2 linked regions of the Notamacropus eugenii genome follow. The protein of the gene in region 1 interacts with the protein of each later gene in a pairwise test. Links are inferred from orthologs where the notes say so. Each region holds a gene or a part of one and is shown in the gene's direction. Other genes may lie near its edges. The genes, in order: BCCIP and RPL23.

Region 1 (16,283 bases):
CAAAGCAGCTTGGGGGGCCTGGTGGCCTAAGGGGAAGGGCACTGAATTTGGAGCCAGAGGATACAATTCCAGATTCTGCCTCAGACTGTGCTCTGGGCCTCAGTTTTCTCCTCTGCCAAATGAGGGCTTGGACTAGAAGACCTCAGGGGCCCTTCCCTGCTCTAAACCCATGATCCCATCAGTCCCCTTGGTGAAACCCTTCCAAATTGGCCACCTGAGTTGGCAACTTTGCCTAACCATTAGGTATAGTGAAGCAGGCTGGCAGAAGGGGCTTCAATGAGTGCTCTGTGACCACATCAGAACCTCACAAGGAGATGGAGGCAGGGGCTACCCCAACAAGTATCTGGACAAGCCAGGTTGCAGGACCCAGGAGCGTGCCCTGAGGGAGACTTCTACTCAGACACTGACAGGAAGCTGGATCTTATAGGGGACTCAGGAGCACCCTGGGGAAGGATGGCAGTCTAGCTGGCAGACCCCTAACAGGGTCAACGAAAAATTCATCAAATGGAAAGTCAGAGTTCAGGCAAGTCAATAGCCATTCAGAGCCAAGCTGTCCAGCCAGGATGTTGTTCAGGGGTGAGGTTGTTCTAGGAGCAGGCTGCGGCAGGACGGGGGGGCGGGGCAACACAGTGACATCAAAATAAAAGGTACCAGTAAGGCTCAGTTTAGAAGTGTAGCAGGGGCTGTAGTGCAGAGGGATTCCCTCTTGACAGTGGAGAGGAATGTGGCCTTTCTTCGAGACTTGCGAGGCAAACCCGGTTCTGATTTCTATCTGAGCCAGACCCAGCAAACCAAGGCTTTAATTTAAAAGCTATTGACTTAATTTACAAATCCTTCAAAATGTGCTGAGTCCAAAGCCCCAAACCTCTCCTTCAGCAGCCACCTTTCTGCAGGGATGAAGTCCTTGTTCATGCAGCAGATCTGAGGCCAGATTGGATTTGGGGAGGCTGTGGAACCACCATGTTTGCTCACTGCTGAAGGGCAGGCAATTGGAGGCATTTGTGAAGTCCTACTGAATGCTGGGCTCTTCCTAGTCCCCTCTCCTCATGCCATCAGAGCCTGGTCCCTGCGCCCCCTCTTCCCTGCTCAGGGGTCAGCCAGGGTTCTCCAGGGCCCAGCAGAGACATGTGTGGAGATAGACTGAGGTCCAAGGACACACTGCACATCTGGAGCTGGCAGGGCCTCAGAGGTCACTCCAGCCAAGCCCCTTCAGCTGAGGTCTGGGGTCATAGGGAGAAAGGAGCAGAGAAAATGGGAAGTCAAGCCCTCTAGTGGTATATGTGGTGCTCCTCCCACTACTGGGCACCAGTGGGGTTCCTCATGGGCATGGCAAGGTCATAGGGAAGGTATACAAGCCCCAGGAGCTCAAGAATCTGCTAAGCTTGACTCAAGAAGGCAGGAGCCTCCTTTGGTTGTCCTGGCAGCCCCTTCCCTCTGAAACACTGTGGATGCTGGACTGCGTGGTGGCTTCCCCCGAAAGCCATGGGTCAGAGGCATGTCTAGGACTTCTTCTCACACTCACCAAGGGATGCAGTGGCTTGGCCAACTACGTACGCCGGCTTGATGTGCCATTTTTCTTTCAAAGACTTTTTCCAGACTGAAAAACAGTTAATTAAAAGCAGGCATTTAGCAGTGAACTATGAACACTAAAGTGGTGCTTGGATTTCTGCCCCAGAAGGCAGTTTTTATTTCTTTTGAACAATTTATGAGTAAAGCAAAATGTGAATCATCAAAGTTTGTCTTATAAACAAAAGCAAAAAATATTTTTAGGCAAAGAACTAAGAGCTGAAGCCAATGCAAACTTGTCAGGCAGTCATACAAATCAGATCTAGGGAATGTTTTAAGGGGCTTTCCCTGAAACAGGAACTGTTTTTCTGCCTGCACGAAAAGCATTTTTTATGTGTCCTTGGAAAACAAATCTAACACTGGATGCTAATTTGCATAGTGATATGATAACTGAAAATCGGGATCTTTATTGGAAGAGAAAGAAAACCACGGAACATAAAACCTGCTTAACTGGCCAATAAAACATCACAACTGACTGTTCAGAAGATGAACACGCACACAATTTCCAAATGACTTCTTTGTAAATGAAGGGCAAAGTAAACACATTCTTGCTCCCAAAGCCACCTAGACTCTGGAGGCAACTCTGCGTACTGTGCAAACAGCTCACAGAGGAGGCATCCTGCACACACGCTGAGACTGCCTTGGCCAGGAAACTACTGGGCAGCCCCTAGGGTGGCTGGCCTGCATGGCCAAGAGCCCTGAAGAGGCTAAGCCCAAGCTGGGAGAGCGAAAGGCTATGGGGTCTTCCTGGGAGCTTCATTTCTCCCCTGAAGACCAAGACTGTGTGCTTATTTTTAGAGCTGGAGAGATCCTCAGCCATCACTGGGTCACAGAATGGCAACCCCCCACTCTTCACCCACTAGGATTGCAGCCAAGCAAACCAAGGCACGGGCATCCAAGGTAACTATCAGCTCATGGTCCCTTGCCAGCAGGTTTGTACATGCATGGAGGTGACTTGGAACCCAATAGGTTCTCAAGTGCCCTTGGCTGGGAGGGACAAGCTCTGCTCTGGAACTAAATCTTAGGGATCTGGGGAAATCCCTTTGGTGATTTCTTTCCTGTCTTAAAGAGAACATTTCTGGAGTGACAGTGAAGGACCCTTAAATCTCAAACCACAGGACGTCCGGGCTGGCAAGGACCATACCCAGTCAGGGCTTCCCTGGTCCAGACCCTGCATTTCACTGAGGACAACTAGAAGGCTCAGAGAGTCAATGCCTAGCCCAGGACACACAGTTTGAAGCCTGTTTCTCTGATGGAATAGTGCCCCGTATGAACTTATGAGGATACAGAACATGGGCCTACAGGGACCTCAGAGAGCATCTAGTTTGCCCCTAACTTTACAGAGGAGGGAAACTGAGGCTCAGAGGTATAAAGGGACTTGGCCTTGGGAGTGAGGGGCAAAGTCAGGTCCATCAGGCCCAAGGCTCCCTCCACAGACAAAGCCAGGGGGCACCAGCTTTTTCTTTAGCCAAATAGGTCTTTGCATCATCTCCAAGTCAGTGATTTTCAGATCCCAAACAGGTCTGAGGCAGTCTTATAAAGCAGGGGGAGAAAAGTGTTGGCTGGACCTATGTTAGCGAGGAGGGAGGAGTCCTGGGGGTACCCACCCCCAACAATTTTAGCACTGTATCATGAAGGGAGTGAATTCCCTGTGGAGCTGGGGAAGGCAGGCCTGGCAGGTGAATCCAGCTGCTCACCTGGAGATACCCCTCTCCCATAGCTGGCTGAGAGCAACTTGGCCTTGCTTGTGGCTGCCTGGCATTGGTGGTGCCTCCTGGAGCCTGCATGCCCTGCTTTCCAAGGACTAGATAGAGGGCTGGGCTTGGGGCCAGGAAGACCCAAGTTCAAATCCAGTCTCAGACATTTACCAGCTGTGAGATCCTGGGCAAGTCACTTAATCCTGTTTCCTACGGTCTTCCCATTTAAATGGAGATAATAAACTGTGCCTCCCTGGCAGAGTGGTTGTGAGGATCAGAGGCAGTATCTCTGTAAAGTGCTTTGCAAGTCTTCAGGTGGTACATAAATGTTAGTGGATGAGTAGGGAGGAGCCAAGCTCAGGAGCTTCTCTGGTCAGGTGGGTCTCACTCACTTGGGGAGAGGGCAGTCAGGAAATGGAGGGTTTAGAAGGGGCATTTTCATCTCACCTTGATGCTCTCAGGGGACTTTGGGCTTTTTGGTTGTTTTCAATGTGACATGAGAGAAGCAGACTCACCTTCCAATTTGTTGTCTCTTTCCAGACACAATTTCACAGCTTCCACTGCGCGGGGGCTGGTGAAAATGAGCCCCCTGTAAGCCTCTGGACGAGACAGCTGCCCACACACAAAACATCTCAGTAAGATCCAACAAATCAGCACACATTTATTAAGCACCTCCATGTGCCTATCTCTGGTGCCAAACCATCCCTCCCCTCATGGTGCTTTATCCTATGGGGGAGGAGGGAATACGTATGTACCAATCTAATTACAACAGCTGACAATTACGTAGCACCTGAATAGGCATCAAAGTAACTTATTTATGTTCTCTCATCTGGAATTCTGGGAGAAAAATGACTCAGCCGCTCCACAAGGCTCCATAAAAGTGCAGATGACCACAGAAAGGGTCAGGACATGGCACCACAACTTCTGGGATGCCCTGGAGGCCAGAACACGCAAAGCAGCATTTAAGTGGCAGCAGAAAGGTGGTGATAAAGCAGGGGCCCGTTGTTTAGGGGATGGGTGAATAAGTTACGGTGTGCGAATTGTCTTTATAGATGGAGAGGAAGAAAAATTTCAAGAAGTCTGAGAAGACATATAAACTACGATGACTGCCATACTGGCAGTGAAGCCAATGTGGAGAACGTCCGAATCCAGATCAGCTGCAATGACACCCTGGGGTCCAACGGGCTAGAATAGAGCTCACTTCCCTACTTAGGGGGCAGGGCTGGTGGCATCCTATGGTGTACAACGTGACAGTGGCTTTGGAACAAGACGGTGGCTTTGGGACGTGCTGTTCGTCAGCTGCTCTTCAGCCAAGGCCCTGACCACTTGACACACATGATAAAAGCCTGTCCCAGACTTAGCTCATTCCCTGCCCGCCCTTGGCCACCCCTCCCTGGCAGGACAGACAGAGCAGAGTATTTGGCCTTACCTTCTCTGAGAAACTCTGCAGAGACAAAAACTCAAAGGATAAAACAGGTATCAATGTAGCTGCAAATCCACATGATCCCAATTCCTGAGGAAAAAGAAGTACCAACACTCAAGACCTGAGAGTTGTCTTAAAAACAAAAGCAGGGCCCCAGGACCCCACTCTGGAAGTCAATGCTGCCTCCCCCAGCCCAATCTGACACCCACAGGGAAGAACAGTGAAGGCAAGCCTGGGTGCCAAGAGGTCATGATGTAATTCTCTGGATCACTTACCTGAATATAGGGATCCTGGCCTGAGTCATCATCCTTAGGGTCTTTCAGTAACAGAATCTTCATTTTTTTATCAGCCGGCCCTTAGGAAAGGCTAAAAGGAAGAAGGGAAATGGATCCTAATTAGATCTGGGGGACTTTTCTCCTTACCCTTGCAGGATCAGGTTGGGTCAAGCAGAAGCTGGTCAATGGACCTGGTGAAGCGCCTGCCTCGTTCCTGGCAGTGAGTAAGCAGCGAGCAGCTCAGGCCCTTCCCTGGGTGGCTGAATCACTGATAAGGATGACAAGAAATGTGCAGGCTGCCTTTGATAAGGCTCATGTTTGGATGACAGGGAAAATATAAGCCCTCAAGGCTCTTTCCAAGGGAAGGGGCTATGAGAGCTCTCCACATTATTTAGGCACATTGACAGCTATGGAAAAGAAAGTCTCTCATATACCTAATGCACTGCAGGAAAGAGCCCTAGTACAGACCCCCTATCATTGTGCGTAGGGATGGTCCATGAAGGATCTTGAGCCCTGGGAAGTCATGTTACAAATGTCACAGCCCTCAGCAGCCAGTGGTGGTGGTGAAGAATGGGGTGCCTATGCATTGGTAATATATCCTTTAACTACCAAGTACTGCTTCATCAATAGAAGATGAGGGGAGGGGACAGGCAAAGCTAAAATTCTATCACTTCTAAGAGACTGCTGACCTCCTTCTCAGTGCAGAAGGTCAGCAGGCAGCAGAGTTTGTCTAGGACCCTGACTGAACAATCCTATTCCTTGGTATCTAAGCAACAAAGCCTTGGCAAACAAATAATGCTTATGAAACCAAATTCTAATTATCTTCACGGTAAGGCAGCTAGATTGCGATGGCTGCTTTGGGGAGATGGGTATTATCTAATCATTTCATGGAGTTATTCATAATGTGTTTCAACCAGAAACTAGCTGCACAGCCTCTCACAATCCTAATACCCCAAGGAAATGGGGATGTAATTGAGTGGCATGGACATCTTGGCATTTGTAGTTCGAACAGAATCTCATTCAGGGTGTACTCAAGTACCCTCTAACTTGAGGATGAAACAGCCACGGCCCATTTCAGCTGAAAGCACCAATTCATACTGAAACTGTCAGCACCAGACTGTGTCCTTTCCTAGCTGTGGCTGAAACCGTCCAACCTAGACTCCCATTGCAGCCCCCTCTCAATGCCCAAGCAGAGCAAGAAAGGCCTTTTTTCTGGTATTTCATTCCAACTCTTGTTTTCCTCCTCTTCTGGCCCTTCGCTTCCTTCTGTGCTGCAGTCTGCTTCATCCTTCCTCCCCCTCTCTACTTTATTTACTGCAGTCAAATTCTTTGCTTGTTTCCTTGCAGTGGCTAGAAAGGACAGATCAGTATCCCCAAAGTGCTGGATGGTGGGTCATTTATAGCTCAACTCAGCCACTATAGCACTGGAAGGCATTTGTGAAATCATTCGAGCTTCTCTGGGACTCTGTTTCCTTAAGTGTTAAACACAAAAACACAGATTAGGCCCAGATGACTGTCGTTTACAAAGTATTTAAGCTTGTACTGTGCCAGGTACCTGGAAAAGATGAAACAGGTCCTGCCCACAAGGAGCTTCTCTCCTTTTCCGGAGAAACGTGAACAAGGAAAAGTAAACACAAAATGGACACAAAGTAACTGGGGGGCTCTGCCTGGGCCTCTGGAACAAAAAGCAACTGAGCTGTACCTTGAGGGGAAGCAGGTATTCCAAAAGTAGAGGGAGTTGATGAGAACTGATGAAAACTCAGAGACTGGAATAGTATTACTGCACCCGGAGTTGAGCCCGCTGACTGGTAGAGTCACTGGTACTGAATGTGGAATCAGAAAGATGCCCTAGACCCAGACTTAGCTGGACATCCTAGCTCAGTCACTTAACTTCTCTGCCTCAGTTTCCTCATGTGTGATAAGGGAACAGGAATAACATCTCCCTCACAGGGCTGTTGTGATGATGAAATGAGATAGCAGCTATAAGGCAGTTTGCAAACCTTAAAGTGCCACATAAATGTTAGCCTTTACTCCTGTGAACTGACATTCTTCAAGGTGAAAGGGCTTTACACAGAAAAGGGTTTTATTCACGGATCAAACATGTTTTAAAACCCAACAGCCTAGTGCAAAATGAGCTTTTTTTTACTTATGTGCTATGCTGTTTTTCCTGATATCCCCAGTGATTTCTCCAATGGAAAATTCAGGGAAAACACTGCAGACAAGTCTTTGTATTACCATCAACTACTGAGGTTTCCTGCCAGAATCCTGAGATCTTTTTGTTTTTAAAGGAAAAAGTACTTTCGTTTTAAAAAAAATTTTTCCAGGCAAAGCTGATGTTCTTTTATGTGTGTTGCGTGTGCAGAGGCACATTTTTCATCAATATTGTCCTCCTAATTGAGGCTTTCTTTTATCTGTAAGAAAAGAATCTAACCAAAGCCATAACCCCTCAGTCCCCAAATAGGCCAGGTACAAACTATATTAGGTCCATCTGAGAAAACAGCCAGCAACTGGACCCAAGGCTAAAAAAAGAGCTCATTAGCAATGTTAAGACCTTTTTAGTTTGTTTTTGGACTTCAAACTACAAAAAAAAGTTTATCATTTCAACAATTCCCTGTTTCCGGCCAGGAAGTCAGGCTGGTGTTTCAATGATCAAGGATCACACTTGTGAAGGAGTCAGAGGAGGTGGACACCAGAGGTGACGTGGGCATGAACAGGGGTGTGCATGGGAGAGAAGGGGACTGGACCACAGGAACCCCCTCTACGAAACCAGGCTGGTACCTGCTTTGAAAACTGTGTTCTAAGGGTGGTCAGGTCAGCTGCCAGTGTGTGTCAGAAGGAGAACTCCAGTCTTCACCTTCCTGGTTCTGAGACTGACTCTCTCCCCACCGGGCCCTACTTGGTGCATGCCTCCTGCATGTAAAAGATAACATTTGGGAAATGTGCAGTTGGGAGAGAAGAGCCAGTTAGCTAGTGGGAGGGAAGGAGAGCTGATGGACACCCCTAGGGCTGCTGACAAATGCCACTAGACACAAATGAGGTTCAGTGGATGGATTTATCTTTCTTTTGATGCTAGGTAATTTCGTTTTCTTCTCTTTGAATGATTTATCTATCTTTTTAAAAGCTGTTAGTATTATTAATTCAATTTTTTTCACTTTCAATTTTATTAATCTTTTTTGATATTTGGATTTTCTATTTTGGCATTTATTTGGAGAGCTTAAATTTGTTGGTTTTCTAGTGTGTGTGTGTTTTTTAATTGCATTGCCCCAATTCATTGATCAGGTCTCTTTTACTAATCAAAGTATTTAGAGCCATAGTTTCCTCTAAAGATAACTTTGGCTGAATCCTGAAAATTCTGCTATGTTTTCTCTTTGTTGTAATTCTCTTAAATGAAGTGATCAGTTTATATTTGTTCTTTGACCTGCCAATTCTTTAGGCTTGAGTTAGTCTCCATTTAATTTTTAATTGTTAATTTAGTGAATATTTGTTGATTTTTAATTGTATTGTGGTCTGTAAAACAGGTGCATTTAATATATCTGCTTTTTTGCATGTTTGTGAGGTTTTTATGCCCTATTACATGGTCATTTTTTTTTTTGTAAAGGTGCTGTCTACAGGTGATAAATATATATAATCCTTTCTATTTCCATCTGACAACCTCTAGAGGACTATCATATCAAATTTTTCTAAAATCTTATTTAGGTCCTTTGCTTCTTTTGGTTAGATTCCTGTAGGTGTGAGGGGGTAAACAGAAGCTCCCTCCCTACTATTATAGTTCTACTGTGTTTTCCTATAACACATTTAACTTTTCTTGTAAGAATTCAGATGTCATGTCATTTTGTGTGTGTGTGCGTGTGTGTATACTCCCTATTTTTCTCTTTTAGTTAAATCTCTTTTTACTATTGCTTTCTCTGAGATCATGAAGTGAGGGTGTGAGCTGAGCTCTGAGAGTGTCTGGATGCCCCTCAGCCCTCCGACTTTCTTTAGTGCCACCTGTTCTTGACCACCAAGGCCCATTCTTAACAGGCTGACCCAGGCTGTCTCTCTCAGGCTCCTGCCTCCAAACCCCAAACTCTCACCTCCTTGCTCCGGTTCCCCAAGCCTCTCCTCTTCAGCTTCAGTCTCCTGGGAGGAAGAGGCGGATGCCATCTTTCCAGACAGCTCTGACTTAAGCTCCCGCGGGGGTGGCCCCCACCTCCCCCACACAGGCTCAGGTCTGGGGCTGCACAAAACCTTCCCTTGGCCCTGGGGCTGGTGGCACTCCCAGCGCCTGGCACGGGAGAGGAGGAGCTTAGGCGGGGCACATTAAACAGAGCTTCTCCCTGCAGCCTGTCCAGCGTGCAGCCGGGCCAGGGGGATGGCGGACCCAGGGAGCGGGAGGAAGAAGACCTGGGTTCGAGCACTGTGCCACACGCTGATGGCTGTGGGGGTCCCGGAGCTTCCTGCGGCTGATGGTGCGGGCTGGCTCCACTGGCACAGGGGAACGTGAGGGGAGGGACTCTGTGCTGTGATCGATGACCCGGAGGCCCTGGGTGACCCTTGACACTAGATGACCCCTTAGGCCCCCACTGGGCAGGGTTTTAGAGGCACACGAAGAAAAGGTCGGAGAAGGCCCGGCCCGGGTTCGAGTTGTGCCTCTGCTAACTCCCTGCCCAGGAGGCCTCGGGCCACTCCCTCCCCTTCCTGGGTCTCAGTTTCCTTCTCTGTCACAAGGGAAGGGCCTTGGACTCCACGGAAGGTACGTCCTTTGAAAATGCTCGTGGCCGTGGACAGCCCTGGGGGGCGGGGGCACTGACCCGGAGCCATGATGTTGGGAGACAGCAGCGACCTCAGTTTCCCCGCCGGTAAACGAAGAGAGCCACGCGAAGGTCTTAAGTGATTCGCGCACAAGTGCGCACGCGCACGGGCGTAGGCGCACGCGCACAGCAGGCCACGCCCCCTGCCCTTCCAAGGATCCACTCCCAGCTCCCCCCTCGGTGGAGCGAACCACTGTCGGACGAGGGGGAACTCAGGCCCGGGGAGGCCAGCATCAGGGCGCATCCAGGATCATTTAATGTTCAACGAAACAGATCAGGCTCGAAGGCTGCTCTCCCTACTTTAGGGGCTTCAAAGCGCCTTAGACTCGCTCCTCTCCCGCCCATACTCTGGGAACTTTCTCCCCACGCGCATGAGCCGGCCCAGAAGCCCTAACCCGGAAGCAGCTGCGCAGGTGCAGTGGGAGACAGGCAGCATGGCGTCCCAGGCCAAGAAGCGCGCCCTGGGCAACCGGCACCCGCAGCCTCCGGGAGCCCGGGCCGAGGAGGAGCGCGAGGAGACGGCGGAGGACACCGACGAGAGCGGCGACGAGAGCGATGAAGAGGAGGACGAAGAAGACGAGCTCGTCAACCAGGTGGGGTGGACCTGCCGCGGCGCTCAGTGACGTCACCGCGTAGCCTGTCAGCCCCTTGAGGGCGGGAGGTTCTGTCCCTCAGGACGTGGCACGCCTTAGGCACGTGGGGAGGGCCCAGTCTGGCTTCTCACACTTTTGACAGGTGGGGAAACCGAGGCCCGGACAGAGGGAGGGACTTGGCTCATTCCTCTCCCCTCCCCCCCTGCTGCAGTGGGCATTAGCGAATGCCTGCCGTATGCCCCGTATGCCCTGCAGCCCCAGCGCGAGGCTCTCTGCCGGTTCCCCTTGGAGCCAGGGCCGGCCTCCCCTGGGTGTGCGAGTGTCCCTGTGTGTGCTCACGTGTGCGCTCACGTGTGTGCCTGTGCTGCCTTGTGTGCATATGTGCGTGTTTGGGCACGGGTGCGTGTTCAGACTTCACGTGGCTGTTGTCCTTCGTCTTCAAAGAGGACCAAAATGACGTCACCATGATAAAGTGAAGTTTCTGTGTGTCCCACTGTTGGTCAGACCAGCACGAGCTCAGAGTGCTCCGCCACAGGTTGGGCACAGACAGTCCGTGGGAGTATCTGGGGTGGATACTCCAAATGTGCACATCCTACACTTACTTTGTGCTGTCTGTTCTGCTTTGCTCATAGAGCACGGCCCCTTTTCTGATGTGGGCACTCCATGCTGAGCCGTCCTGTGCCAGTGTCTCCCATGTTGCACAGTCAGATCCAAAGTTCTTGAGAGTGTCCTTGTATCACTTCTTCTGACCACCACGTGATCACCTGCCCCATGCCAGTTCTCCATAAAGTAGTCTTTTTGGCAAGTGTATATTTTGCATTCGAGCAGTGTGGCCAGCCCATCAGAGTTGTGCTCTCTGAAGCATAGTTTGAAGGCTTGGCAGTTTAGTTCTAGCAAGGACTTCAGCGTCTGGTACCTTATCCTGCCAGGTGATCCTCAGAATCTTCCTAAGACAGTTCAAATGGAAGTGATTCAGTTTCCTGGCATGGCGCTGGCAGACTGTCCATGTTTCATAGGCATACAACAATGAGGTCAACAGAATGGCTCTGTAGGCTTTCAGTTTGGTAGTCAGTCTAATACCTCTTCTCTCCCAAACTTTTCTTTGGAGCCTCCCAAACACGGAGCTATCTCTGGCAGTGTGTGCATCAACCTCATTATCAATGTGTACATCCCTGGAAAGTACACTAGTAAGGATAAGTGAACTTATCCACAGCATTCAAAACTTCTCCGTTTGTTGTAACTGATGGTTCCATGTATGGATGGTGTGGTGGTGGCTGATGAAGCACCTATGTTTTCTTGGTGTTAATTATTAGACCAAAGTTAGCACAGGCAGCAGAGAATTGATCCATTCTTTGTTGCCTCTCAGCTTCAGAGGCTGCATTGGGTGCACAATCATCTCCAAACAGAAAGTCGTGCACAAACACTCCCTTCCATTTTGGTCTTGGCTTATAGCCTTTTCAAATTCAAGAACCTACCATCAGTGCGGTAGCTGAACTTGATGCCATGTTCATTCTCATTGAAAGCATTTGACAGCATGGGAGCAAGCACACAGCCCTGTTTCACTCCATTGGGAAGGCATGAGAGCATTGTCCATTGTCTAGAACCTGGGCAACATACCATCATGAAATTAATGTACAATGCTGATGAACTTCTCCAGGTAACCAAATTTTGACATAATTTTCATTTTGACATAATTTTTCATTCATATTTGACATAAGCATTCGTGACTAACAGTGTCAAAGGCCTTGGTCAGATTTTTCCTGGCATTTCTCCTGGAGTTGTTGGGCGGCAAACACCATATTGACTGTTCCTTGGCCTTTTCTGAAGTTCCCTGACTCTCGGGTATATGACTGTCTTCCAGGTCAGATCAGCCTATTAAGGAGGACTCTAGCAAGAATTTTGCCCACAATGACTAAGAGAGATATCTCTGATTGTCACAGGACAATCTATTCCCTTTACCTTTATAGACATGGACAATGGAGGTATCCTTCAACCCCTGGGTGATAACCTCCTCTTGCTATATAACCTAGAAAATTTCAGTCAGCTTTTGTATGAGCAATGGTCCCCGTACCTTGTAAATCTCAGCTAGAATAGAATCAGTACCAGGTGCTTTGCCACATGAAAGGAGCCTAATGGTCCTCAAAACCTCTTCTTCAGTTGGAAGTTCAACTAAGGAGGGATTGACTTCAACTGAGGTAAACAATCAGTAGCCTCAGCATTGATTGATGATAGTCTGTTGAGAACACTATGGAAGTGTTCAGCCTATCTCTCTAGGATCCTGTCCTTATCACTAATCAATGTGGTTCCATCAGCACTGAGTAGTTGTGATGCATCGTAGGTTGTTGGTCCATAAATAGCTTTCAGGGAATCATAAAAGTGCTTTGGATTGTTACTATCAGCATAAAACTGAATTTCATCTGCATTCTTACTGAGCCAGGAATCCTGCTTCTCTCTAAGCTTTGCTTGTAGCTTTTGCTTTTGATGGAATTAAATGCTGCCTTCTTAGAGGTGGATGAACTATCCTGCTGGTAAATCCTGTGGAGTTCTCGTTTTTTGTTTATCAGCTTCTGAGTTTCCCCATCATTTTCAACAAACCAGTCTTGGTGTTTGCAAGTGTTCTGACCCAGATGAGCAAATGCAGTGCTGTGCACCAAATCTCTGAAAGCTGCCCACTCCCTTTCTGCTCCACTGTTACCAATTGTGCGTTGGCTCAACCTTCCCTCCAAATCAGTAGCAAACTTCATGCTCAGAGAAGAGCTCTAATTTGTTGACATTGATTCTTCTGGTAGTCATTTTGCCTTGGGGGGCAGCACTTTTGATGAATGCGAATATTTAGCTTGGAAAGTCTATGATCAGTCCAGTACTCTGCACCGCACATTGCCTTTGTCACTCTCACATCTTGTCTGTCTCTTCTCCTTACGATCACATAGTCTATTAGATGCCAGTGTGTGCTGCGAGCATGCTTCCATGAAGTTTTATTGTGTTTAGGTAAACTGAAAACAGTGTCAGTGATAAGAAGGTCATGGCATGCACAAGTCTTCAGCAGCAAATGACCATTGCTTTTGCTGTTTCCAACTCCTTTCCTCCCTAGGACTCCCTGCCAAGTCTATGCCTCCAGCCCCAGCGCGAGTCTCTCTGCAGGTTCCCCTTTGAGCCAGGGCTGGCCTCCCCTGTATGTGTACACATGTGTGTGTGCCTACACATGTGTGTGCGTGCACTGCATTGTGTGTATGTACATGTGTTTGGGCATGTGTGCACATTCAGACATTTGTGTATGTGTGTATTCATGGGTGTGTTTGTATGCACTGCCTAGACAGCGCATAGGCACGCACCTGTGTGTTGTGCAAGCGTGAGCGTGTTCGCCATGGCGCAGGGGGTCTGTGGGTAGGTCTGTAGGCCCTGCACCGCTCCACCCATGTCTACACTGGGAGGGGACAGGACCACTGGCTCTGCCTCCTGCCTGCCCTGGGGGTGACAGCCCATGTGATGCTTTCCCTATCGGACAACTCCAGGCCTTCTCCCTAGCTGGGCTGGACCCCGGGGATGGAGAACTGGGTACAGGGACACAGATTGGTTTGAGCCCCACTTAGTCCCATATCCCCCCACTCCCTCCCCAGGCAATGTGGGGAGGAGGCGGCTGGGGGACCTTTTCCTCGGTGTCGTTTACAGGAAGTGACAGTGGAGTTTGAAGCTCATTCTATCTCCAGTGATGACTTTGATGGAATAAAAAAACTACTACAACAGGTAAGACAGGCTGGAAGTTCTTATTCTAACATCAGAATACTTGGAACAACATTTGTTTAAGAGATTGTAGAATGGTGGGTACGTGGGACATTTATTTGGTTAGTCTCCTGTTAGACCTGAACCTGTCACTAGGAATCCGACCTTCACTTAGATGTTGCACTCTTCTCACAATTAAATGTTTTCCTATTTGTCTTTAGCTTTTCCTCAAGGCTGCAGTGAACATTGCTGAGCTCACCAGTCTGCTAATACAGCAGAGTCACGTGGGGAGCGTCATTAAGGTGAGACTCCAAGTCTTTCTTTGTGTGGGAGAAGGGATGGTCACAGTCACAAACTGGGTGATTGGCCATTTCTCCCTGCCAAGAAACTTCCTTTTTGTCTCTACCTTGTTTTTTTGTTTGGAGAAAAAGAAGAATCACTTATGAGGCCATTAGGCAATCTCAGAGTTGGGCAAGACCTTGGAATGCATAGGATCATAGGACTGTAAAGGGACTGTAGAGACTTCGAGGCCTTATTTTACTGATGAGGAAACTGAGGTCTAGGGACTTGTCTAAGGTCAATCAGCAGGCATGTGTTAAGCACCTACTGGGTGCCAGGCATGCTGCTAGCCCCTGAGGGCACAAACCATTCCGTAGTAGTGAGCCGGCGGTCATGCCCTCCTCTCCTCTCCAATCTAGCCCATTGTACTTCTGACCACATTCTGAGCCCCCATGGAATTTATGTTTTTGTGTTCCAAGAGGAGGTGACCCAAGAAAGAGAAAACAAAGAAAGGGATGGGGGAAAGAAGAGGATGTGATATAACAGTCATAATGACCAGATGTTCAGTGATGGCGGTGATACCCACCACCGTAGCACTTGTGAGCCATCACACATGCAGTGTGAGCTGCTGTAGCCTCTTTCCAGCAGAGGTGATGCAGGTGCCCTCACCTAGCCCAAGTTGTGACTCACAGCCCAGCTCTAGAAGCGCATGCCTGTGACCTAGTGATAGAGGGTCCCCAACGGCTGCTGTGGGTGCCTTACCCTACCCTGTGACCATACAGAACAGTATGAGTTAGGAGTCCAAGCTGGCGCACAAAGCAAACATAGCAGTGTCTGTATCATAGGAAGCATGAATGCATCAGAGATCAGTGGAGGGAGGGAAGATGTCCCAGGGAACCAGAGTGGGGACCGGGGGAAGGAAATGAGGAGGGAACCATTGTGGGTCTTGCTGTAGAAGAAACTCTTTGCAGACAGACTCTGATGTCTGCACCTGGCTGTCCTTGGACGTGGTCATGTAAACTATACATCAGCTGCTAGTGTTAGAGCAGGGGGTGTTGCGGGGCCCAAAGGCCCTTGTACAGACCAGTGGTTCAGGAGGAGACGAGGGGCTAGAGCGGTCACATTTGGCAGCCCTTTTTTCTGTAGAAAGGGGAAAGTCCTTCGTGCTTTGAGAAACGAGTGCTGGGGACACTGTCTAAGAAGAGAGGTTTTTGAAGGTGACATCTAATGTGCCTCCGAGCAAGTTGAGCCCCCATGTTTCCCAGCAAAACCTGGGAAGAGCCAGGCCTGGTCCTGGTGCTCCAGATGCTCAGTGAATCACTCTGGGACAAGAATTCTGTGCAAACCCTCCCAGAAGCCAAAACTTCATGAGATCTGAAAGGCAACGACAGGGAGAGGGAATGGTTCCCAGTGGCTAGCTGCACCAATGCCAAATTCTGCACGATTTTTTCTTCCCCAAAATTGTTTTCTACTTTCCTCCTTCCATAAAGTTGTCCCTCCCTCATGTCACAGTCCCGTATTCCAGTGTCCCCTGTACCACATCCCATCCTCACCTTTCTCCTGGGTTCTGGTTCCATACCAGATATGGACATTTCCACCCAGATGTCCAGCCTCGTTGGGTCCAAAAGAGAATTTGTTACATTTCCCCTGAAATGTACCCCTCTCTCAGTACTGCTGGTTTCTTTTCAAAAAGCCACCGTAGTCTAGTCACTAGGTTTATGACTTTGGAATCCTTCTAAACCTGCCCCTCACCCTGCCATGAGTCCAGTTAGTTGTCAGGTCTGGTTAATTCTCACTCTACCACCTCTCTTCATCTCTACTCACAGGGCCCCCAGTCTTAGGTATGGGTGACCTTTCACCTGGGCTACTTCCAGAGCCTGACTTCTGCGATGTTTTTGTTCGGCGGACCAGGACAGCGTCCTGGATATTATGTGGCCCGT
Region 2 (17,132 bases), on another chromosome or scaffold:
ACTAGGGAAGCCAGGATCCCCTAAACTGTTCACTCAACTCCTGACCTTCTTCAAAGTCCACCTCTGTACTTGGGGTAAGAGAGTGGAATCTCTTTGCCAATTTTGACCTGGAGGAGACAGTTATACAGGTTGTGTGCTGTCATACAGAGGAAAGGGAAGGGGGATGGGGAAGAGGTACAGGAACTTCCCAAAGACAAGCCTAAGGCCCACCTATACTTCCTCTTCCAGCTTGGGTAAGGGAGCATCCGAGGAGGGCAACCTATGGGCCAGGAGGAACACAGGGCATCTTCTGGGACTCCCTATTCTTGACCTTACTTCTCCTCCCTCCCATTCACCAAGTAAAAAAGGACTCTCCCTCTCAAATTCTCAGTTTTTCCAAACTGGCTGAGCTGGGCTCAGAGAAGCAGGAGCATTCTGCAGTCTGGCAAAGTATAAATTCGGTAATTTTCAAGAGACATGACCTAGCATCCCCTTTCCTGCCTTCCCTCCCCAAAACACCCTCCAACTCCAAGCACACTAGGAGCAGATTTATAGATGGCACCACTCCCTCATTTTACAGATAAAAAAAATGGAGGCCCTAGGCCTTTGCCAAAGTCACATAATAGTAACCGTCAGAAGCAGCATTTGAACCCAGTTCCTCTGACCTAGAACTAGAGCTCTTTTCACTATACTCTAATTCCTTCCTAACCCCTTTCCTGAGTGTTCCCTACTCCTAGGAGAAGGAAGGGGGCCAGGAAGATACATTCCTTTAAAGGCTACTGGGCACACCCCCAAATGCCAGGCTAGGGTACAATGGGCGTCAGGAGCTCTCAGAACTCTCACCTCCAGGTGTCCAAACTAAACTTAGATACACACTCACCAAGGTATTGGAGGGGTACAGAGAAAGACTCTGTCCCTTACATCCCACTCCTAAACGTTAAGAGGAGATAGGCTATCAATATAGGCTATCAATATTTCTTTTCTCCCAGCTTCCCTTCCCTCGGGGTCCTGGCAGGGGTACCACCATAACAGCAGCCCCGGAGCTCCAAGGACAAGTTCTGGTGCAATAGAGAACTTCACCCCCTCACCCTGTGACTCAGGGAGAACAGGGACAAGCAAGGAAGTTAGAGCAGGAAGGGGGAGGAGAGAAGGGGGAAAAGAGACAAAGTGTCCAGTGAGCTCTCCCTGGCCTTCCAAAAGCAAAATCAGCCAAAGTCCCTGAACAAACTTGGCCTGGAAAGCCCAGCCCAGCCCGGCTGCCCCTCCCCTCCCCCAGTCCCCCAAAGAACACTTCTGGGGAGAAAAAAAGAGAAGACACGGAATACTCAGGCCTGAAAAAGGGAAAGGAGGGGGAGGGGGAAGGGGAAGAGATAGGAAGCAAAGGGAAAGGGACTGGGACAAAAGGAAAAGGAACATTCCCAAGGTCGCCAGGTGGACGTGGCTCCGGGGAAACCACCTGGAAGGAGGGGGCGGAGGGAAGGGAAGCGTGGGGACATGCTGGATTTCCTCAATAGAACTCAGAGAACTGCAGCAGAGGAACCCTGAATTGGAAACACAACCCTTCCACCTCCCCACCCAATCCCCAAAACAGACTAATGGGAATCAGATGAGCAAGCTAAGGTATTGGGGGGGGGGGGGGTTACAAAGGCCAGCCCCGTGTGAAGGAATTTCCAAAAGGCCACTTTCTCTCCCAATCACACCTTTCCCCTCAATTTCTTAGGTTTCCCTTAAACTCGGCCAGTTCTGGCCCCCCAACACTCTCCCCACCAGCAACCTACCGAACAATCCGTTCACTCTTTGTTCTACAACCAAGCTCCCTGACCCCACCTGAGGACAGCCGCCCCCCCACACCCCATCTTCCACTCGTCCCCATCTACTCCAACTGGGCATCCAAAGGGCCTAGCCACAGTCCCTTGATCCTGGCTGCAACTAGTTTGAGGGTTTTACCCTTTGGGGGTAAGAGGAAGTCAACAAGAGGGAGTCCTGACCCGGGGGGTGGGGGTGCTCCAGTCTGCCTCTCCTTAGAAGAGGTTCTCATGGAGGAACCCCCTCCCCCACACACACAAACCCCCGGTGTAAGCCCATCCGTGCGCTCGGACTCATCGAAGGCCCCCAGCCTACAGCCAAGAAACTGGGGGAAGGGACAGAGCCCCACAAGGGAGAGTGTAACGGGGCCCCCCAGTCTCTGCCCCGCCCCCCTCCCCCCAACCCGGCGCTTCCGCCTACTTGGCGCTCAGCGCGGTGGAGGGAGCGGCTCCTTCCCGGGGCCCGGGGGAGCCTAGGGATGAGGGGGTTCAAGTCTGGTCCCCCGAAAGTCCTACTAGTCCGGCTCCCCTGCCCCTCTCTTTGGCAAACTGGAGCCCTTCCCCACCCCCAGTCTCAGCATCCCCGAGCCCACGTCGCCTCCTGCAGCGGCCCCTGGACAGGCATGGACGTCCCCCCGCACTGAGACCCCACAAATGGAAGTATCCCGCCCCCAACCCTGAATCCCAGCGGCTGGAGCCGGGGCTGCTCTCAGCCAGACTGGGCCCCCTTCCCGCTGAGCCCCGCAGAGCTCCTGCACCCCCGCGTCCCCCCTCTGCCCCCTTAAATTGTCCGAGCTGGTGACGCCCCCCCCTCCCCCCCGCTGGTCCAGGACCCTCGCAGGGGAGGCTGCAGGTAGGGGCCGAGCCCCGCCCGGCTCACTGGGACGCAGCCCGGGGGGGCAGCCTGGCGGCGGCGGCGGCTCGCTCACCTTGTCCAAACAGTTCACCTTCTCCGTGGGGTACACGATCTTGCCGCACCGGGCGCAGTTGGGGTTCATGGTGGCGGGCGGAGCGGGCCGGGGGCGCCCAAGCTGGCAGGGCTGGTCCTCTCCCTCCCTCTTCCCTTCCCTCCTTCCCCAGGCGGGCTGGGGCGCTGCGGCGGCGGCGGCTGGAGCTGGGGAACTGGCCTCCGCCTCCGCCCTGCTTCCCCTAATAAACACGGCCGGGAGGAGGGGCTGCACCGGGGCGGGGAGCGCGCGGCCGCCGCCGCCACGGGGGCGCGCTCCGAGGGGAGGCCGGGGAGCGAGCGGGGCGCGCTCACGTGGAGCCGCGGGGGCGAGCCGGGGAAGGGAGGCAAGGAGAAGGCCGAAGGGGACGGGGCGCCGACCCCAGGAAGATCACACCCGCCTCGGAGTTACTGCGTGGAGGAGGAGCGGTCCTTCCTGGGGGCGCGCTGGGGGGATCTCCCCTGACGTGCCCCTCTAGGAGCCTCTCGGCCCAACGGCATCTGCACCTTGCACCTTCTCGGCCAGCTCAGGAACTTCACCCTGTCCCCCAGGAGCTCTCTTCTGCAGGGTTCTAGAGAACCTCCGGCTTCGCTCTCCCCCCACCTCGGATGGTCTGCAGCTGCAGCAGCGACGACCATCGCTCGGGGCTGAAAAGACTTACTTCCCAACGACCCACCGGCGTTGGGGGTATAGCTCAGTGGTAGAGCATTTGACTGCAGATCAAGAGGTCCCTGGTTCAAATCCGGGTGCCCCCTTCCGCGCTTTTGTTTTCTGTGGAGTTCGTTCTAGTTGGGACCCTGTCTCAAGACCAGTGTCTTAAAATGACGCCATGGATCCGAAGAAAAAGGAAAAGAATGCGGGATCATTTTAATACTCCCTAACCGTGGACGAGTAAGTCTCCCTAAAAGAAGCTCTGTAGGTTTGGCTTTGTTCCTGGAGAGGGAGGGAATCAAGTATGGACCCTGTACTCTTTCCAGTTTAAAGGTTTTGGAACGACCGGGCTCCCTGGCAAGCCTGCCGCAGCCCTTCATTTCCGGACACCGGGCGGCGTGGAGGGCAGAGGGTGTAGGCACCTGGGGGGGAAGAAAGCCATGGCTACATTCCCCGATTATCCGTGGCCTGGAGGTCCAGTTCCCTCTCCATCTTCCACTTCCTTCCCATTCTCCCTAACCCTCTCTCGCTCCCCGCTTAGTAGCAGATGAGATAAGGGCAGTGTGAAGTTTCCCTTGCATTCTATAGGCATTCGTAGTCTATCGGTCAACACACATTAAGCACCTACTGTGTGCCAGTCACTTTGCCAAGCGCAGAAGATACAAAGAAAGGCAAAAGAAAAAATGTCTCCTTCCTCTAGGAACTGGCATTCTAATGGGTGAGACAACTGCAAACAATGTACAAACAAATGTAGACGAGATAAATTGAAATCATCTCAGTCAGAAGGCACTTGCATTAAGATAGACTGGAAAAGTCAGGAGGTGGGATTTTAGCTGAGACTTCAGGGAAGCCGGGAGGTGGGTCGAGGAGGAAAAAAGTTTCGGTAAAAGTTAGTCTAGGAAAAGTTACAAGTGTTGTGCAGACACAAAATATCATTACTATGTTGTAATTATTTCGTTACAAAAAAATAACTCGGGTAAATCAAATGCAAACTCTTTAAAATACTAACCCTGTTGATTAATCTCATCACTACAGTTTAATGCCAGGATGGCAATGAACTGCTTATATGGTTATTATTAATATTATCATCCAGGGGAAATACAGGAGGAGGGGGAAGGGAGAGACCCTAAACAATCCACAGGAATGAGTATCCTTTCTTCAACTGCATTTTTGGCCCCAAAAAAGGGAAAAAATAAGGGAAGGAGTGGAGCATGCTTCCTGGGTTAGAGGTCAGCCGCGTTATTTTAAATCCAGAGCAAGACTGTCATCTTTCACCCGGACCATGGGAATCTGATGCTGCATTCTTTCCATTCTTATTACTTCATTTTCCACCCGAACAGGGGAGAAAAAAAATGAAACTCTTCCAGATACCCTCCCATCTATTAGGAAAAACACCCTCTCAACCCTATAAGGAGAACCAATGCGCTCAGCAGAACCGTGGGGACCTGGTTTCTGAAACTGAAAATCAAGAGTGGCTAATTGCCTTGTAAAAAAAAAATTCATAATTCTTCCACGTGCCTTTGCTTTCCTACTCCCCAAGATCTCCAAAGGACTTAAATTCATGACCTCACCATTTAAGAGGCAGAAATTGTTCCTCTGAACTACGAACTCCAGCCTTTGAGAGGTGCTGCTTTTCATCTCTCTGGACTGTAAATTTCTTTACCTGGAAACCTAGGGCCAAGTTTAGGGAAGTGTGGGAGGGACCTCAAGTTAATCCTATTATGTGCTTTCTCTCCTAACTTCTGATTGCAATAAAGGCTGAAGGAAAAATTAGCTATGATACATCAGTTAACAAGCATGCTCTGTGACTCGCAATAGTGCTGATCAAGAAGCTTTTATTCTATGAGGGAAACAATTTTGTTCAGTCGTTTCGGTAGTGTTCGACTCTTCGTGACCCCATTTGGGTTTGGTTTTTTGTTGGTTTTTTTTTGGCAAAGATACTGGAGTGGTTTGCCATTTTCTTCTCCAGCTCATTTTACAGATGAGGAAACTGAAGCAAACAGGGTTAAGGGACTTGTCCAGGGTCACACAGCTAAAGTCTGATGCCGGATTCAGTCCCAGTACTCTATGTACTGCACCACCTAGCTGCCCATTACACACACACACACACACACACACACACACACACACACACACACACACACACACACACACATTTTCATATTATGGCGTTGTAGACATAGGTTAATAAATATGTAATCATCTCCACGAAAAAGGTAGAACTCCATATCCAAGGGCTTTGGAACAGGGGTTATAAACATAAAAATTTTATATGCTTATATTTTATAAAATAGATTTCTATACATAAGTTATATTTATACGCGGTATATTCTGTCCATATCTTATACGTATATTTTATTTATCTGTTTATTTACTCGCTTATTTGTTTATTTATTTATGTTGGCCGAAGAAGGCCAGTATGCAGATAAAGTGGAATGTCCTGGAAAAGCAGAAGTGCAGCCCCACATACGTGGTTTAAATGAAAGAGGAGGGAGAGGGATTTGTCAATTAAATGTAAAACAACGCTGGACTCTTCCACCCCCACCCCCACCCCACAGCTGGCAGAACATCGCCCCTCCCCCTTCCCGCGACGATGCTGCCCAGGAGCCGGGGGGCAGCAGCTCTGAGTCCTGTCCACCCAAACGTACGCGTGGCCCTGTAATTCAGGGAATCGGGTCTGCTCTGCTTTTGTACCCCATCCTCCGGGTGCTCTCTTCCCTGCTCTGAGAAGCGCGGGCGGTGGGGAATCTGGAGCATCCAGACTGGGGCCGTAGCGATCAAAATTGAAGAGGTACAGAATAATCGTACATCATCCAGTTCCACTCTGCCTTTCTTCAGGTCTGTGAGACCACGCCTTCTGTTATCAGTCAATCTTCCAATCCAGCTCTTTGTCGGGTTTCTGACGCGCGTCGGAACTGGCATTAAGGTATCGGTGTTAGCTTTTTTTCCTTGTTTTGTGTTTTTTTGACTAGGTTGATTTAGTACTTGAAAGTTGCCAACGAAAATGCAAAAGCTAGTTTACAGGGGGCACCCGGATTTGAACCGGGGACCTCTTGATCTGCAGTCAAATGCTCTACCACTGAGCTATACCCCCTCTGCTGGTGAAACTCATACAATCGCTTTCCAGCAGCTGTAAGGTTCTTGTGCTTTTTTTGTAGTCTGGAAAGATTTTTTTTTTTCTTCCAAAGAACATCACTAGATTTCCCAGTGTATAAGCAAGACTTAAAACTTCAAATCTAACACAACAGATTTTGAAAACATTTAACTTTATCTCCAATATGTGTAAATTGAGGATAAAAATCCGTGTTCAGACTCACCAAGATTATTTGAGAACACTGGAAATAACAAAGACTTCGTAAATTGTAAAGAAAATTTAAAAAAATAAAAATAAAAATTGTAGAGAATTACAACCACTGTTCTCATCAAACGGCTTCCCCAGTTTTCCATCCACCTTTCTTCCTCCAGGTACAGGCAAAATAAAGTCTTATTTTCAAAGACTATATACCAGTATTCCTCAGGAATGGTTTCTCATGCTATCTGCCCAAGAAAACAAAAACCTGAACTTTGCAGCAAGTAAACCTCCTTAAATATATAGTTATTTTTTATCTATGTTGCAGATGAAAAAATTAAAGTAGGTCAGTCAAGTCAAGTCACCAAAATTGTATACAGGTCCTGTTTCTTTTTAAGAAGCAATAAATGTATTCACTTAAACCAAAAGAGTGAGGAAATACTGTAATTACTTCCTCTCAATCTGAGACAAAAATACTAACTTCATATCATGGTCACCTAGCAAGTAAAGGAATAGTTTTTGGTAACTCACCTGTTATGTACTGAACCCATACAACTCAAAAGGAAGAACCATAGAAAGAATGTGGACCATTCCAGAGAGACAAATAACTAACAATACTTATTAGGTATTGCCAAACTAGTAATACTGATACTAGTACTAGTAGATTAGTAGATAACTAGTACTAGTTATTTCCAAAATTCTCAAATAATCTTGTTGAGTTGGAGGCATCATTCTGAGCCAGGAGGAGAAAAGGATAGAGGAATGGATGGATGGATGGATGGATGGATGGATGGATGGATGGATGAATGGATGGATGAATGGATGGATGGACAGATGAAAGGATGGATGGATGGATGGATAGATGAATGGATGGATGGATGGACAGATGGATGGATGGAGGGGTGGATGAGCCATTATTACTTGCTTGCTTGCCTATTGTGTGCAAAGTGTGCAAACTACCAAAGAATTATTTTATAGAGCGAGAAAAAATAATAACAAAATTCATTTGGAAGAACAAAAGTTTAAGAAGATCCAGAGAGTCGATGGGGAAAAAAAGTGAAAGAAGGCAAACTAGTTCTACCAGATTTCAAATGACATTACAAATTGGTCATCATCAAAGCAATCTGGCACTACTAGATAAGAAACAGAATGGTTTGATCAGTGGAATAGATTGGGTATGAAATTTACATCAATAACTGACCATAGTAATCTGATGTTTGACAAAACTTTATAAAGATCTAATAAGACAACTAATGAAGCAAAGAGGGATGAGATTACCAGGACATCCTCTTCCTCTAAGATAAGAAAGATTTGTGTAGAAAGAAAGATTCGGAAGTAGAGATGGAGATTTAAAACCTGATTATTTTGATACCAGGAAAGTAAAATTTTATTTAGGCTTTGTGCCAAAAGTGAAAGATGGGGAGGGGTGAGGTTAAAGATTTTGGTTTTGTGAGTTTCAAGAAAGATTCAATGAAATAAGCTAAAAGATCGTCAGTAATCCAGAAGAGTGCAGTTAAAGTTGGACAATACATTTGTAGTGGCCTAGATCAGAGTTCTCAACATTCTCTAGCTATACTTTGAGGTTATACTTGGCAGTGCCAATGAGCCAGGGTCAGAACTACCACCGAAAATATTTTCTCAGAGATGTTCCACCACTAGTGAAAATGAAAGAAGTTAAAGTGGTAGGATAGAATTTAGACTCAAAGAACTTCCCAGCTGTCTTAACACCTAAGGGAAATGAAACCCAATGTGTAAACCAGCAGGGTGGAGATTATAAATGAAGAACTTCCCCCTCAGAAGAGGGCAACAGTGGAAATCCAGTAGTAAGGAGATGGCACTCTCTCTACTTTCTATTTGACCTGTTGGTCAGGGACAGATTCATTCTTCATTGTCATCACCAGCTACAAACTGGATTTTGTAAAGTAAGCAGAGTAAAGAAAACAAAATGCACAATAACTAAAACAAAGTCAATGGAAAGAACAACAAATAAAGATTGAAAAATTGAATTATCACTTCTTTGAGTCTGGGGAAATGGAGTCAATTTTATTACATCTACCAAGAATGTTTTGTACTCAAAAATGCCTTGTTGACAATCCATTTAAGTGACAACAATAAACTACAGGTTCTAAGGGGGTATAGCTCAGAGGTAGAGCATTTGACTGCAGATCAAGAGGTCCCTGGTTCAATTCCGGGTGCCCCCTCTTAAAAGAGATGTCTGTTTTAATTACTTAAGTATTTCAAAACAACGAAGTATTTTAGTCCCAAATGCCTGAAATTCCCGAGACTGGTACCCCAGCACACCAGAACAGTTTCATGTGGCAAGGAAAACTCCCTGCAAGGAAACCAGAACAGTGTAACCCAAGGTACTAGCGAGTCAACTGTAGGTCAATTCCTAAAAGTTTGTATTCCTTATAGTAAATGTAGGTGAACATGTATGTCATGTCAATGTAAAGGACAAATCTGATTCCTTCCATGTTTTGTGGGAGTGGAGATGAGCCCTGGGTTCATGAACTGGCTCCCTATAGTGAACAGATCCTGTAGTGGGACAACTGTGAGTACTCAGGTGTAGACATAATTCTACCACAAGTAATTCATGAAAATCTTTTAAGATATGGGGAAGGGCTAAACTGGGGTGGGTTAGATCTACACCCCTGGAGTAAGCACCCACCCTCATATTAATAATCATCCTGAAGTTTAAAACAGTAACTGACATTTATACAGCACAATTTGCAAAGTGGTTTGCATATACTATCTCATCTGGGATAATGTAAGATAGTCAGGAGGGTCCAGATGACAATTCTTGAGTCTCTTCTCACTGTTTCCTCGAAAGTTGAAATGTAAACTTCTTCAGGGGAGGAATTGTTTTCCATTTTGTCTTTTTATCTCCAGCACCTAGCTTATTAAATTCTTGTTGAATTAAACTGAGCTAACCCTTATCTTGCTTTCACTACAGTACTGATTTTTTATCTTTTGGGGGGTGTATTGTTTTGACAGCGACTTAATTTCTAAATTTCTGAATATATCTATCTCTCTTCTTCACCAGCTCAACGAGCTACCCTTTTGTTACGAGACAAAAAAAAATAGATTACAAAGAATAAAAGAAACAGAAAAAAGAAAATTCAGTAAAAAGCAATCACCCATTAACCAGATATATACAATAATAATAACATTTTAATGCAAATTATTAATCAATATGAAAATAATATAAACAAAAACACATGAATGATTTAATTGGAATTATAGCATTATAAATAAAAACAATGCAATTTCATTTAAAAATAATATATAATATATATAATTTCTATATATTTAACCAAAATGATGTAACTTGTTAATACAAATGTAAATGATAAATTTATTTCAATTTAATCAATATATAATTTCCATATTGATTAATGAATTATTACTATTAATATATTATTAAATCCGATTGATGGGTGATTGGTTTTAATTGAATTTTCTTTTTTTCTCTTTGCTGTTTCTTTTTTATTTTTTGAGGTGTCTTTTGTTTTATGTCTTTGTCATATAGTATGATTAATAATTACATAGGGGGAGATAGGTGGCAGTGAATAGAGCGCCAGGCCTGGAGTAAGCAAGAGCTCCGTTCAAATTTGAATTCAGGCACTTAACTAGCATTGGGAGCCTGGGCAAGTCACTTAATCCTGTCGGCCTCAGTTTACTCATGTGTAAAATGAACTGGAGAAAGAACCATTTCTTTTTCCATTTCAAACCACTCCAGTTCCTTTGCCAAGAAAACCCCAGAAAGGGTTACGAAGAATCGTAGACGACCGAAAACGACGGAATACCAATACAATTTTCTACACTCGCTAGTCCCTCGCCTTTTCAAATAAGCATCAGCTCCGAACTGCAGTTTCCCCACCAGGGCTGAAGAGGGCGCCAAAGTGCATCGCACCGCCCCCACCACGCAGTCGCTAGCTTATTTTTTTATAGTCACGTGACGGGGGAGCGCTCCTCTGGAGGGCAGGAAGCTGCTTCCGGTCACGTGACAAGAGGGGGAGGCGGAGCTTCTCTGTTCATTTCCCGAAGTGCCCCGCGTTTCCTCTCTCTTTGGTGCTTTCCGGGAATCAAGATGTCTAAGCGAGGTGAGTTTCTTGAGCCGCGAAATCCGCCGCCATCCTTCGCTCTCGGGGCCGGGGTCTGCCGAAGAGCCGCCGGATGGGGAAGCGGGAGCTCTTAGCTCCTCCCTGGACCCAATTGGGAGAGTCCTGTCCTTGAGAGAAGGCAGTGAAAAGACCCGGAGATGGGGGAAGGGATGATAGACGGACTCAGTGGCTTTTTCCGTCCACCTGTGACACATGAGCCACGGCTCTGGCCCACTCGCAGCCTTCTTCGGAGGCCTGGCCTGCCTGGCGGGGAGGCGCCCTAGAAGGGGAAGGCTTGGAGTAGGGGGGTTTCTGCCGAGGGGAAGGAGCTGTTTGTAAAAAGAAGGTAGGTAGGGTGGGGCGGTAATCGTGCCACCCTCGTAGGGGTTCTGATGCCTTGGGATGGAGGTCGTTCACGACCGCCGTACCGCTTTTGATGGTTGCAGACCAAATTGTTCTCCCTGCTTCCTACCTTTTCCCCTTTCCAATGGATCCTTCACACAGCTGTCAAATTGCTACTTCTAAGCCAATTGCAGCTCACCTCTCCCATCCTCATGCACGTTACTTCCCAGATCCACTCTACTGTCTTCTTTAAAATTCCCTGTATTCTTCATAGACCTTTTCTCCCCAGAATATAAGCTTGAGGAATAGAACTGTTACTTTTTTTTCCTTTATATCCTTAGTATTTAGCAGAGGTATGGGTTTAATAAATATTTGGTGTATTAGTAAATTGAATAAGCCTTCTGCTTATAAGAGCCTGTTTTCGCATGTATAGTTTATCTTCCGTGCCTAGCTTGTATTAGAGAAAGGTGTGAGTATCCCAAGTATGAAGTAGATCTGTTTGTTGTAGTATTATAAGAAAGGAGCCATGGGGCATCTTTGCACCCCTCTTGTTTACAGCCTAGACAAGGCCATACCCATGAGAATCTTTCAGCAAATAGGAAAGTGAGTTATCTGTAGAATAAGATAAGTTGCTAAGTTTGCTTCTGACCTAAAACTCCGTGATGTAAGTAAGTCCAAAAGCAATTTTCTAAGGAGAAATAGAGACCTAGTTAGGAGAAGAGCTTTGTGGATGCTGGATTGATTCTTGTATATCTTTCCTTAGGACGAGGTGGGTCTTCGGGAGCAAAGTTCCGAATTTCCTTGGGTCTCCCGGTGGGAGCTGTCATCAATTGTGCTGATAATACGGGTGAGTCCCTGGTATGCTTGGCTCTTATCCTCCCATTGGATTTAACCATGATTTGGTAAATGCCCAAAGAATTGAGAAGCATTTGACTGTCTAGCTCTACTTAACTTCTCCCTTCAAAAAGCACTCAGTGGGCCTTCTTGCAATGACCCATAGAGCCGTCATGAAAGGGTAAAGAAAATGACACTGCTTTTGGGTGAAGCGGCAGCTTGTGCTGTTTAGCTTCAATCGGTGGTGTAACAATACCTCTAGCCATACAGGTATCATTCAGCATTGACTTCATCATGGAGTGAAATGGTAAGAATAAATGTCTGGTAGCCATTTATGATGAAAAAAAACCCACTGCTACAAATCTTTTCCTTATAGGTGCCAAGAACCTGTACATCATCTCTGTGAAGGGGATTAAGGGGAGATTGAACAGGCTTCCTGCTGCTGGTGTAGGTGACATGGTAATGGCTACAGTCAAAAAGGGAAAGCCAGAGCTCCGGAAGAAGGGTGAGTGGAGGAAAAAGAATCTCCCCTTCATTCTCTTGGTGAGAATCGAAAGACCTACTCAGTTTATGATCCCTTGTTAAGAGTTTTCCAATGTGAAATGCTATGGCCCTGAAGCCTTGTCTCTCAAGTGTTAGGCCTCAGTATCCAACAGTGGCTTCCCTTGGTGGACTCCACACTACTTTGATGGGGTAATGTCCATATTCAAGATGGGTGCATTAAGCTGTGAAAGAAGCCTGGGTGGAGAAGAAAAAGAAATTGCTCCATAAATTTCTTTTGAGAAGTATAAAGATTCCACTGATAGTGATCTCTCAGTAATAGTGGGCTCTGAAAGAGACTGAACTGACTGCATCATAAGAGATTTTATCTAAGCCCAACCCAGCTCCCCAGGCTTCAGCCTTTTAAAAGACCATGAGGCATGGTAATAAGACCTTTGCTTTCCTTAATGGATGGGTTTTAGTTTTGGCCTTTCCACAACCATCTAGGCGGTTTTGACTTCATTCTGAACCTGTTCATAGTATGAAAGACAATATCTACACTGTGTAGTTTACATCATAGAATTCTTTCCTAGGGAGGGCATATTGTGTACATATCATGAAGTAGTAGTGAGTTATTTGTAAAATAAGGGTTTCTGAGATCCATTCTAAAAGCCTGTGATTCATATAAGTGAGAATAACAAGTTTTTATCTAATTTTGGTATTTAGGTTAGTTTTAAAACCTTGTCTCCCAGAAAATCTGAATATTTATTGCTCATTCTGACTTGGGTGATGGTCTTATGGAGAAGTAGGTAAAGCTGAATTCCCTTTCAAAAGCACTTTATGGGTCTCTTCAGTGACTTGGGAAGTTATCCAGAAAGGGCAGAATATAACAACCATCACTTTTGGGTGAGGTAACAGCTGCATGTGCTGTTGGTCTCAATCAGTGGTGTGACAGGCCTATAGTTTTTTTCAAAACAGTGTGTTAGAAGGATGGTTTGACAAAACTGCCTCTATTACCCCAAGCTAATATTTTTTTTATTTATTGTACTTCAAAGTGTAAAATCATTCTTAACTGGTGAGACAGATTTGGCCCTCATGCTAGTTTGCCGATCCCTGTGTCCCACCTGTTTGAAACCTTCCCTGGCTATTCTAGACCACAGTTTTCTTTCCTTTGTTAGAATCCCTATATTTGTGTCCCTGATTGGTACATTTGTTTTCCATATTTGTGTGTTCTTTAGTTTCAAGGATTATTAGCCCTTTTGTCTCATTAACCCCTTTGGCAGATTAGATCCCTTCTCTCAATGCTGTTTTTAAATGCACAAAATGCATAGGATTGTGTGCCAAATATATTAAAATATAACCAAATTTTGGGGAAAAGATCATAGACCCCAGGCGAAGAACCTTTCTCTAGGTCTTTCCCTTAAGCATATTGTTACCATTTCAAAGGTAGGAAGCCTGTTCTCTTAGGAGTTTAAAAAAATTCCTTACAGGTTTTCCTCAACAGAAAGAGTAGTTGAGGCAGTATTCCTTCCCCATACTTGAGTTGGTTTTGCAGGAAAGCTCTTAAGTGTTTTCAAAATTGATTGGTCTTAAGTCAGAGGAAACTTGTTCAGTTTACAGGTTTTGAGAAGCCACAACCAAGCAGCATGCGTCTGGGTTCAAAGCCCACCTCTGCTGCTTTGGGGAAGTAACTTCCCCTATATGGGTCCTCTTCAGTGAAAAGAGGAGGTTGGGCCAAGGTGATCTGTAGCATCCATTTGTTGCTTCATTTAAGAGCATGAACTCTGGTTGAGACTCCAAGTATCTTTTAAAGCTTGTTTTCAATATGTAGTTGAGGAAAGTATAGGTGAGGGAATGTCCGTTATCTCCTTTGTTGTTCTATAATACACCTATTGGAGCTGAACTTGTCATTGATCTTTTCCTTTATAGTTCATCCAGCAGTGGTAATACGGCAACGGAAGTCGTATCGGAGAAAAGATGGTGTGTTCCTATATTTTGAAGACAATGCGGGGGTCATAGTAAACAACAAAGGCGAGATGAAAGGTAGGGGTTTGGGTTTTTTCTTCTGTGGTTGGGTGGGTGGTTCCTTCAAAAGATAGTACCTGTTCAGCTTTTGCTTTTTCCTCTTCTCTCCTGTAGGTTCAGCCATCACAGGGCCTGTTGCCAAGGAGTGTGCTGATTTGTGGCCCAGGATTGCATCTAATGCAGGCAGCATTGCTTGATTCTCCTAAAGCCCATTTGTAAAAAATGCCTCATTAAAGTGTCTGCCTATATATTTGCTTTTTTGCCTTGTCTTTGTTTTACCCTGATCTTTTTCAGAACCATTGAAGTCTGAAAACTAGCCTGTGTTTTTCTTCTAATGGTTTGATGTTAACCCTCCTGTGATAAAGCATTTCTGCTATCCTAAAATAAGACCATCCACTTGAGGTTGACTTAATCTAGTCCAATGTGTCAGTGACATATTAGAGCACTGGACTTTGATTAGCCTGATGAACAAAAGAAATACTCTTCTTGAGTTCAGATTTGGCCTCAGACACTTTAACTAGCTGTCTGGCCTTAGGCAGGTCACAACCTTGTTTTGCCTCAGTTTTCTCATCTGTAAAATGAGCTGGAGAAGGAAATGGCAAACCACCGCAGTAATCTTTGACAATAAAAAACTGAACAAGTAATTTTACCAACACCAGGACAATACGGTATACCATATACTGTCTTTTCCCTGTTGCTTCCTTGGGTCAGTGATTTGGTAGATTGAGGTTTTCATTGTGTTGTGTTGCCAGTAGTAGAATTGTCATTTCTTTATATTAGGTTTGCTGTTTACAGAGCAGTTGGATACTACCTAGAAATACATATGTGCCTTTGGATTTTAGGTCAGTCTGGATTATTTAGGAGAGGAGTGCTTTTCAAACCTTGGAAAACACTTATAAATGGGTGGAAGGGGCTTCAAGGGAGAAAGAGTTGGATCTATTTTCAGTTGATCCTCTATATCGCTTATTTGTATACAGTATTTGCATGTTGTCTTCTCCCTATTAGACTGTGAGCTCCTCAAGGGTAGGGACTGTCTTAACTTTGTATCCTAGTGCTTAGCACAGTGTAGCTTGTAGGTGCTTAATAAATGTTTATTGACCAACTGATATGTTTTATCCTTCAGTTAGGGCAGTGGTAGTATGCTGGCCCTAGAGTATAAGATTCTCTTGGATTAGTGTAGTGTACCTGAACATCCCCTGGGTTGATTTTTGTGAAGATCTTCATAGACAAGCCTTGAAACACCCAAAAGTCAGCTGAAATTAATGTGATTTTCACTGAATTTATTGACGTAATCTAATTGAGAGGGTTTTGACAAGGAAAGAAAAAGCTTACAACCACAAGGGTAAAGTAACAGATAGAATTTTACTTCCCTCATTGAAAAAGATAAAAGTTGTACTCATCAATTTTTTTTTTTTCACACAGCTTTTGATGGGAAGTTCAGGAGTCAGGTCCGTGAGGAATTGCTGGTGAATCTTCCTACTGCCATCCCCTTGCATTCAAAGCCTGAGACAGGCTGCCGAAAAAATGTAAACTGGCACCCTCTCCTTTAACCAACCCCCTTTACCTTTTATCTGCTCAAAAATTTCTGGTAGCCCCTAAGCCTGGCAGTTCAATTCCAATTCTATTCTATCTGCAGTTAGGTATTCAAAATAGGGATTAAGAAAAGGTTCCTATGTACTACATACAATGAGTCTTGATGAACTAGGGATTTCAGAAGATAGTGTGCCTTGTAGGCATAGGGGACAACTCTTGGCAAAGGCTGAGAGCTGGGATACCAAGTAATGACAAGCCAATTTGGCTTGGAATATTTGTGAAAAATAGTATGAAATAAACCAGCAGCCAGAAGGACTTTAAAAGACCAGACTGCTTAGTTTTGTATTTGTGCAAATGGTTGATGAGTTATTTATTAGGACAGTGACATGGTCAAATCTGCTTTAAGATTATGTTGACAATTTAAGAAGGTGAACAGAATAAAACCCCGAGGGAGGTAAAAGTTCAATCAAGATGGTGAGAGTGTGAATGAAAGTGAGATGTTCACAGAATTTGCTAATTAGGAAGGTTAAGGGAAAGGAAAGACTCAAGAATGATTGAGATTGTAAACCTTTTGTTACTGAAACAATGGTGAGTCCCTTCTTTAAACAGAAATGGGCTGGGAGACGTATGAGTTGAGATGACTTATTAGACATTTTGCTTTTGATTCAAGGGGATATCTATTTAGAGATGGATAATATCCTAACAGGCAGTTAACTATCTGCCTGATGTAGAAATGGAATTTAGGAGAGATGAAAATAATTACTGAACCCATTGGAGGGGGGTGAGATCACAAAGATAAGATGTAGAGAGAAAAAGGGGCCTAAGACAGAACCTTGAGGGATACCTGTGGTTAGGGGGTGGGATATAGATGATAGTCCAGCAAAGAATACTGAGGTAGGCTAAACAAGTAGCATGAGAAAAATCAATGTCAAGAAAATGGGATAGGAGGGGCGATTGAGTCAAATGATATAGAGGTCAGAGGATAGGACAGTACAGGCCAACAAGATTAGCTATTAAGAAACATAACAGGAAAAAGTGGTTCCAGTTGAGTGGTGAGGTTTAACAGTGAGGATCGATAAACCTTAAGTGCTTCCTCTGTATCTAGCACTGTTTAGGCTCTGGGAACTTAAGGAAAAAACCCAAG

Evidence for each region.
Region 2: the proteins of BCCIP (region 1) and RPL23 interact in binary tests that used the Homo sapiens proteins (3 or more experiments, as listed by UniProt). The link is inferred for Notamacropus eugenii from reciprocal best matches to the Homo sapiens genes BCCIP and RPL23.

Annotation. Positions count from the first base shown.
Region 1 is NC_092872.1:282,191,989-282,208,271, forward strand, and holds the start of BCCIP (BRCA2 and CDKN1A-interacting protein), read left to right. Parts: upstream 1-10,122; coding exon 10,123-10,344; intron 10,345-14,013; coding exon 14,014-14,088; intron 14,089-14,285; coding exon 14,286-14,366; intron 14,367-16,283. Other genes in the region: UROS (uroporphyrinogen-III synthase), read right to left, coding at 1,523-1,597, 3,779-3,875, 4,693-4,776, 4,962-5,024. UniProt on the Homo sapiens protein: During interphase, required for microtubule organizing and anchoring activities. During mitosis, required for the organization and stabilization of the spindle pole.
Region 2 is NC_092873.1:354,396,783-354,413,914, reverse strand, and holds RPL23 (large ribosomal subunit protein uL14), read left to right. Parts: upstream 1-10,190; 5' UTR 10,191-10,761; coding exon 10,762-10,774; intron 10,775-11,879; coding exon 11,880-11,963; intron 11,964-12,071; exon of another isoform or gene 12,072-12,205; intron 12,206-12,326; coding exon 12,327-12,455; intron 12,456-13,251; exon of another isoform or gene 13,252-13,387; intron 13,388-14,359; coding exon 14,360-14,473; intron 14,474-14,569; coding exon 14,570-14,652; 3' UTR 14,653-14,703; downstream 14,704-17,132. Other genes in the region: LASP1 (LIM and SH3 domain protein 1), read right to left, coding at 2,714-2,782.